Linked DNA regions of Rhinolophus ferrumequinum. The protein of the gene in region 1 binds, or shares a complex with, the protein of each later gene. Links are inferred from orthologs where the notes say so. Each region holds a gene or a part of one and is shown in the gene's direction. Other genes may lie near its edges.

Region 1 (3,907 bases):
CATCTCAGCCTGAGCCCTGGAGGTTGGGCCTGCCCCGCTCCAGCTCTACCCCTTATTTATTCCTTCCAGCAGGGCCTCCTCTTTCCTAGGTTCAGGGCCAGCGCGAGGGGCTGGCCGGGGTCTTCCAGGTAGAGACTCAGTGGCCCGCCCTCCCCAGACCCCGGAGCCAAGAACACTAAGCACCTGCCATCCTGTCCACACCCCTGTCCTTCCCGGCCGTTGCTTCTGTATATAGAGAAATAAGTTATTGGCCGCGCCCCTCCCCTCAGTCGACTGTACCGCCCGGGTCTCCCCTCCCTGCCCTTCTCTAGTGGTACCGCCCAGGCCTTAATCACCCCTATTCCGCGCGGTGGTATCTCCCAGGCTCCACAACACATCTTGGGGGGGGCCTTCCCAAAGGGTTCCCTGGGCTTTCTCGCGCTCCTCCCGGCCTCTGAGGGGTGCTCCCAGCCCCACCACTGTCCTGTGCCCCAGGACGGAGAGCCCTCCCCTGCCCGTCTCCTTACCGCCGGGCCCTGCCCTGCATCCCGGCCTTATGCACTGCCCCTCCCACCCGACCCCGCCCAGGCACGGCCTGATCCCGCCCCGGGCACTGCCCGTGGTGCCATCCAGCCACACCTCCCACGCCTGCAGCTTCTCGCGAGGGGCAGTGATGCCCCACCCCGTGATAGGAGGGGCTGCCCAAGTTGGGGGGTAAGGTGGTCGCTCTCTATTTTCAAATGCTGTAGAAATAAAGACGGTTTGAATCTGAGCCAGGCTTGTTTTGGGGCTGAGGCCAAGGGTTCCCAGCGTCTCTAGTTTGGGGGTGGGGTCGGAAAGGCTGCGAGTGGGGTGTGTGTGTGTGTGTGTGTTGTGTGTCCACGTCCTGTCCCTCGCAACTGGAGCCCAGATACTCCCAACCCGGAATTGTTAGGGGGCCCCACAGGTTCAGGACCTAATAAGCTTCATCTCAGGTTCTATAGACTGCGCAGGCTTTGAGCTCTGTCCCTCACTAAGCTGACCTTGAGCGAGTTACCGACTCGATTTTTTCATATACTTTAAAATGTATGATGACACCTGGGGCTTCTGGCTGTTAGGAACGCCAGCACCCTGGATAAATGAACTTTTACTAATGTTCATAACTCAGTGTTGGGAGGGTAGGGATAACTACCTCTGTCAGATGTGAAACGTATCAACCCCGGCCCTAAATTGAGGTCCCAACGTGGGTGCGCCGTCAGGTTCCAGAGCGCAGTTCTCAAGCCCAGGTACGTCTAGGGAGCGAACTACAAGCCCCAGAAAGCAATGCGCGGCGATGATGGGGAGTGGGTTCTCCGAGCTTCGGGCTCTTCGATTTGCGCATGCGCAGCCCGGGTGTGTTTGGCAATGTGAGGAGACTACAAGTTCCGAGAAGCTAAGCAGCGAGGCCCCAGTCGAGTACGTTTGCGCCTGCGCGTTGCGGGCGGGGCTTCTGGGGCGGAGCGGCCACCATCTTGGAACGGGAGGCGGAGCAGAGCCGACTAGGAGCGACCGAGCGGGCCGCCGCTGCCGCCATGAACCCCGAATAGTGAGTGAGCCCCGCCCGCGCCGTGCGGCGCAGCCTCGATTCCGAGTACCGGGCTGTACGCTTATCGGGGTTGTCCGGCCCGGGTCAGGACTGCGCGGCGCCCCCACATCCGGGTCCCTCTTCCTCTGACCCCCCCCCACATCCGGGTCCTGCCCCTCCCCCGGGGTCCCCAGGACCCCAGCTCCACACCCCGAGATCTTGAACGCTGGACCCAGAGACTGCGACCCTGAGGGGCGCCACTTGGAGCCCGAGGCGCCGACCTTGCCAGGCCTTATTGGTCAGGTGACCCCTCAGCCCCGGTCTCTCCAGGTCTCAGTTTCCCCACTTGCTGGTTGAGAGTGGTGGTCTGGGTGCTGACAATGGTCTCAGCTTTATGAAGCCCGTCACCACATAGTTCCTGATCTCAGTCCAGACTTGGGCCCTTTAGGTCGTGCCGTAAATCTTTCAGTTCTTCCCGGTTCTCCCGGAATCCGGTTCCTGGGGGTAACCCAGGGGCTGGTTAGACGCGGGAGGCCCCGAGGCGCCGCTCTGTGTAGCTCGCCCGCAGGTCCTCCCCTCCTGGGCTGCCGCTTTGCCCCTTGCCTGGATCAAGTTGTCCGCCGTGGGCCCCTTCCCGTCCTCTGTTCACCTTTGCTCAGGCCCCCAGCGCCACCGTCACACCCCTTCCCTTTGCTGTCATAGTGCTGATGAAGTTTAGATGAATCGAGGCATTTGCTTACCCCGTTCCAGTGGGATTCTCTGTTCCTCTCCTCACTTCTTGGTCACTCCCCCTATGGGTAGGTGGCCCACATCTCTGCCCAAGACTTCCCATTGACAGTTTTTCCCAAGTGCCCCGTTATCATCCTGCTCCTCTTCCTCTTCCTCTTCTTCCTCCAGGCCTCAGATTTCCTTGGGGAAGGGTGAAGCTCTGAGCTGGATTCTAAGGGGGAACAGAGAAGGGAACTGACAGACTCTCACAGAGACTTGGGAGTCTGAACCTGGTTTCCAGTCTTAAAGTTAGACGCTGGGTAAACTTAGGGCAAGTCACTTCCTTTCTCTGACCTCTGGTTTCCTTATTTGTTGGGAATAACAACACCCATTTCATTGGACTGTTGTGAGGCTTAAATGAGATGATGCATTGAAGTATTTAGCACTGGGTCGGGCACAAGTAGGAATGCAGTACATTTTAAGTGATTGCCATTTGTTAACCACCTCTTCTTAGAGGTTCCCTACCAGGCTCTTTACATAGATGATCATGTAATAAGTTCTAGGCCGGGCCCTGACTCCCACTTCTGGGGCTTCCCCTGCCAAGGCCGGTACGCCCCAGGGCAGTGTAGTAGGATGGGTTCCCTACACAGCTCCTACCGGGCCCGAAACCGTGATGCCTGTCAGGAATGGGTACGATACCCAGCACTGCCTCCTAGCTCACTGTGATCCTCAGCCAGTCATGTCCCTTTCTGTGCCTCAGTTTCCTTCTCTGTAAAGTGGGGATTCATCATCAGGCCTTTTGGGAGTGGTCAACTTGCTCCTCCAAAGACTTGTGGGGGGATCTTGTGATTGCGTGCGTACCGTAAACCCAGGCACCCCTAATGTGCCTGGCGAGTGCCATCACTGGGACTCCAGGATGATGGTGGGAGGGCTCCCTGCCTTCCTTCACACTTTCCCGTCCTTTCTCTCCAGTGACTACCTGTTCAAGCTGCTTTTGATTGGTGACTCGGGCGTGGGCAAGTCATGCCTGCTCCTGCGGTTTGCTGTGAGTAAGAAGCCTCCCATACTATCCATCTGGGGTCCTGGCTGGTGGCTGGAGGGAGAGGGGGCAACCCAGAGCCCGGTAGTAGCAAGAACTGGGGACCAAGGATGAAGTTGCAGGACCTGCCGGCACCGTAACTGACTGAACAAGGGCACCTGGCTGGCCAGTTAGGTGCTGAGACCTGGGGCTCAGTAGTTAGGAGCTTTGCTGGAGCAGGACACTTGAGGGAAGTGTTCCAGCTGGGCCTCAAGCCTGTTCACTCAGGCCATTTCCCTGGCCCCCGGTCTTCCAGGATGACACGTACACAGAGAGCTACATCAGCACCATTGGGGTGGACTTCAAGATCCGAACCATTGAGCTAGATGGCAAAACCATCAAACTTCAGATCGTGAGTGTCGCGCTTCCCAGCATTCCTGGTGCAGAGGCATCCACCTTGAGCGGGGAGGGGCTCTGGGCATGGAGCCCAGGGCTGACCTGCCCTTCTCTGCCCCTGTCTCGTAGTGGGACACAGCTGGTCAGGAGCGGTTCCGGACCATTACTTCCAGCTACTACCGGGGGGCGCACGGTATCATTGTGGTGTATGACGTCACCGACCAGGTACTCCTGGCTCCCCTTCCCCAGCTTTGCCCCCGCAG
Region 2 (3,907 bases), on another chromosome or scaffold:
AATCTTCAGTTCCTTTGAATCTTCAAAGGAATTTAATTAACCAATTTTATTAATGGGACCAAAGTCCCATTAATAAGTGACTGTTATAATTTACTAGATTTATGAATGGAGTTGTAAAATTTGTCAGTTGGAATTAAGAAATAACTTTGGGATTTCTAATTTTAATAAATTGAATATTAGTTTTAAAAATCAAATTATCTTCAGAGTGATCTTTTTTGCTCATGAAAGATACCCAGAGGACCTTTTAAAAAAAAAAAAAGTTACAATATAATGCTAGACCATGGAACCTGGATTGAACAGGATGGGCATGAAACCAAGGGGAGCCAGTAGTAATGGGTTGTGTGCATTGCAGATTTCGGAGAATAAAGAACTGTTATGGTAGGGGTCATCCAGCAACCATTATCATGGGAACTTTGAGTGGGGGGAGGTGATGCATTGGAGATTTGTAAAGTGGGGTAGTTTCTGGCAATGACAATAGGGGTGTGTGTGACCGAGGGAATGGGTGGCCAATTGGAGAGAAAGGGCTGTCGCTGGAGACGAGAAGATGGTCAAAGACCTCAGCCAGATTCTCATTTTGGAGGCGTGGCCAGTTTTGTACAACTCAAAGGGGATCACTGCTCTCGTAATCATCTATATGAAGGGCGCCTCCCGGCGTGGGGCAGTGCACAGCCTGCGGAGCCGTGTACGGAGGTTCTGATAAAACCCCGAAGTAGACAGGAGTACGTGTGGGAAGGAGAGACGGGAGGTATAATCCCTGGCAAGCAAAAATAATAGCTCATAATTATGGCGTAGTTACTATCTGCTTGGTAGTATTCTACGCACTTTCCCAATAACTGAGTTCAGCACTTTTATTATCATCAGTATCATTATACAAATAAAAGCAAAAGCAATGACAACATCTGGTCCTGAACACACTTGTTCAAGAGCGCCACGCTCCACAGCTCAGATGGAAGTCTCCTGGCGCGCTCCCTGCGCCCTTCCTCAGCTTACCGCGCCTGCACGCGTGCTCCGGAGACCGCCGCCCGCCCCAGCGTAGCGAACGGTCACGTGTCGGCACCGGGCTGGGGCCCGCGCGGGGATGCCTACGCGCCTGCGCACCGCGGGCGACCGAGCGGAGCCTGCCCCGCGGAGCGGGCGGTGGGTCCCGCGGCCACAGCCGCGTCTTCTGGAGGCTCCGCCACCAGCCGGAGCTCGGGCCCGAGTCCGGGCCCCCGGGACATGGCCTCCCGGAGGGCGCAGGGCGACGGCCTCACTTCCAGCCGCTGGGACGGCAACACGGAGAAGGCAGGTACGGAAGCCGGCCGGGGCGCGGAGGAGTGGCTTGCGAGGACGGCCTGAGGGGCAAAGGCGGCCGAGGGGCAGGGGACAGCTGTCGGAGGAGAGGGCCCGTGCGCAGGCGGCGCCTGAGGGGCCGCCGGCTGAGGGGGCCCGGCGGCGACTGCGCAGGGTGCGCCCCGGGCCGCGGGCGGGGTCGGGACGGCGGGAGAGGAAAAGGCTGGAGGAGAGGAGAGCCTGGAATCGGGGGGTCAGCGGGTGATGAGACCGGAAGAAACCGGGGGGCAGAACCGCGTCCCCAGTGAAACGGACAGGGTGGGGGGACTCTGCTTTCGGCCTCGTCTCGCCTGAAACGGAGCATCGGGTCCCTCCGAGAACTCAGGCCAAGCCTCAGCCGGGGCCTGAAACTGTCCGGCCACGTCCGCAGACTCCTGGTGGCGCCTCCCTAGTTGTAAGGCAGGTTTCCCAAACTTCATTCATCTGTCGCCGGCTTCATTTACGCGGTGTGCATGCCCACCTATTTCTTTTAATTACCATAACATACACCCCTTTCAAGTGTACGGCTCAGTGGTTCTTAGGACTTTCACACGGTCGTCCAACCATCACCGCTGTCTAGGTCCACAGTGATAATTCGGGGGGGAAGAAAAAAAAGGCTGTTACCTCCCATTCCCCAGTCTCCACCGCTCCTGGCAGCCACTCATCTACTTTCTGTATCATGCCTGTCCCACCTATTGTAATGTTATTTGATTGTGTAAAAAGCGATTTTCTATTTTTTAATACCGTTTCATCTAAGCAATAATTTGTGTGAAATCATGGTTTTGCTGTGCACTGTATTTTCAACTATATTTTACATATAATTAAGACATGACAGTTCAAGTTATTGTTTACTCCGTACCAAGTAAAACAATCTGTTTTTCCTCTGGAGAAGACTAACGGAGCTTTCCCACCTTTCCCTCCTCTAATGGGTGGTGCCCAGAATAGAACCAGCAACATATTCAACCCATAAGTTTCGATGCAGCATCCATTCACATCTTGTTTCTCTGGTCTCATTTTCTTTTATCCTCTTTTTCTCCTATTCTAGTCCTGGATGGAAGTGGAGCTCACTCATATTACTTCTCTGGGCCCTTTGGCCTTGTAACCCTTTGCTGGTGTTTGTATGACATCTGTCCTGGTGGCATAATAGTGTCCCAGGTGGTATGGGTCCTTTGACCTGTTGTAAGTGCAACTGTGCCTAAGTTAAGAGACTTCACCCCCCACCTAGTTTCCTTGACTTTGCTTCTCTGAATGGATTTAGAAAACGGTTTTTGTTGTTGTTTTGTTTTTTCCTGTTTGTTTTTAATCATATTCGCAAGTTATTAATACTAGAAGCTCTCCTTTGTAGAGTTTATGATCAGATTGATTTACTCTGTAGAATATTTTTCTCCGTTTTGGGGGTAAAGCTGTCTTAGCACATACTTGTCTTTATGTTTCCAGTAGTTAATGAATCTGCTAGTTCCAGTACTGTTTGTTGAAACTAAATAGAACCTTCAAAAACAGAGGCTACTTTGTTTTATTTTGTTTTTAATAGGAGCCTTAGAAAAAGGTAAGGTTTCCCTCTCCCATTGTCTTTCCAGTACAGATATGAAGTTCAAGCATAAAATTTTAAGTTAATTTCCAATGTCAACTTCAGGAGTTCATAGGGGTGGGATAGGAGATCTCTCTCGCACGTTCTCTCCCTCTCTGACTAGTTCTTCCATTGTTTTGATTAAGACTAGCATTGCTTAGTTTGAGTTTAATGTCTATTGACTGCAAAGCTTTCTTGATAGGCAAGATTAAACCAAATAATTGGTATGGAATTTTGTATTCTCACATAAGATTCCATTATTAAGTATATGGATCTTCTTAGCTGATGTAAGTCACTAATATGTATTTTGGAAAAATACGTAAGGAAAAACTTTTAGAGGAAGCATAGCTAGTGTTGATCTTTAGTCATTGTTCTTTCCCTATATGTTTAGTTCCCCAAGCAGGTGCTTTCAGAGATACCTGTTGTTCTGAGGAGGCAGAAATCTTTACCTTGCTTCTGTAGCCAGAATTGGGGAAGGTTTGCGACAATAATGGGCTGAACCATCATTATCTGAGCCGTTCAAGAATTGCTTCAGTGCCTCTTATTAAAATGATCATTTTAATGGTGAGCTAGCCAAGCAGTATCTATATCATTTCTTTTTCCTTTGTTGAATGAATTGCTTTTTCAGGCATCAGGGATTTACTTACAGCAGTGTCTTGTATTTTGCAGCCAACTGTAGGATAGTCATTTCATTCTGTCACAGTTATGATAGCCCAGACCTTTTACTGTAAAGGAATTTGGAAGATATCAACTTTGGAATATGTAAAACCTCTCATATAAGTCGGGCAAAAAGAAATTGGAGAAGAAAGGATTCAGGGATTTGTATTATCACATATATGCTACCTCCCGATGAAATGTGGGCTTTTTTTTTTTTTTCTTAAGATTTTATTGGGGAAGGGGAACAGGACTTTATTGGGGAACAGTGTGTACTTCCAGGACTTTTTTCCAAATCAAGTTGTTGTCCTTTCAATCTTAGTTGTGGAGGGTGACGTTCAGCTTCAAGTTGTTGTCCTTTCAGTCTTAGTTGTG

What was found.
Region 2: the proteins of RAB1B (region 1) and TBC1D20 are in contact, whole or in part, in a crystal structure (PDB 4HLQ), measured with the Homo sapiens proteins. The link is inferred for Rhinolophus ferrumequinum from reciprocal best matches to the Homo sapiens genes RAB1B and TBC1D20. Residues at the interface, in NP_112243.1 of Homo sapiens: Ser17, Gly18, Ser36, Tyr37, Ile38, Ser39, Thr40, Ile41, Gly42, Val43, Asp44, Phe45, Gln60, Trp62, Ala65, Gly66, Gln67, Arg69, Phe70, Thr72, Ile73, Tyr77, Glu94; in NP_653229.1 of Homo sapiens: Gln97, Gln98, Leu101, Asp102, Arg104, Arg105, Leu107, Arg108, His141, Tyr142, Tyr143, Gln144, Gly145, His147, Asp148, Phe177, Met178, Asp179, Pro180, Thr181, Met182, Lys186, Val212, Ile215, Leu218, Ser219, Thr223, His227, Met272, Ala273.

What each region holds. Positions count from the first base shown.
Region 1 is NC_046294.1:5,650,251-5,654,157, reverse strand, and holds the start of RAB1B (ras-related protein Rab-1B), read left to right. Parts: upstream 1-1,400; 5' UTR 1,401-1,529; coding exon 1,530-1,543; intron 1,544-3,202; coding exon 3,203-3,275; intron 3,276-3,564; coding exon 3,565-3,660; intron 3,661-3,773; coding exon 3,774-3,869; intron 3,870-3,907. UniProt on the Homo sapiens protein: The small GTPases Rab are key regulators of intracellular membrane trafficking, from the formation of transport vesicles to their fusion with membranes.
Region 2 is NC_046306.1:23,384,448-23,388,354, reverse strand, and holds the start of TBC1D20 (TBC1 domain family member 20), read left to right. Parts: upstream 1-1,042; 5' UTR 1,043-1,218; coding exon 1,219-1,288; intron 1,289-1,502; exon of another isoform or gene 1,503-1,731; intron 1,732-3,907. UniProt on the Homo sapiens protein: GTPase-activating protein (GAP) specific for Rab1 and Rab2 small GTPase families for which it can accelerate the intrinsic GTP hydrolysis rate by more than five orders of magnitude. Also shows GAP activity for RAB18 GTPase.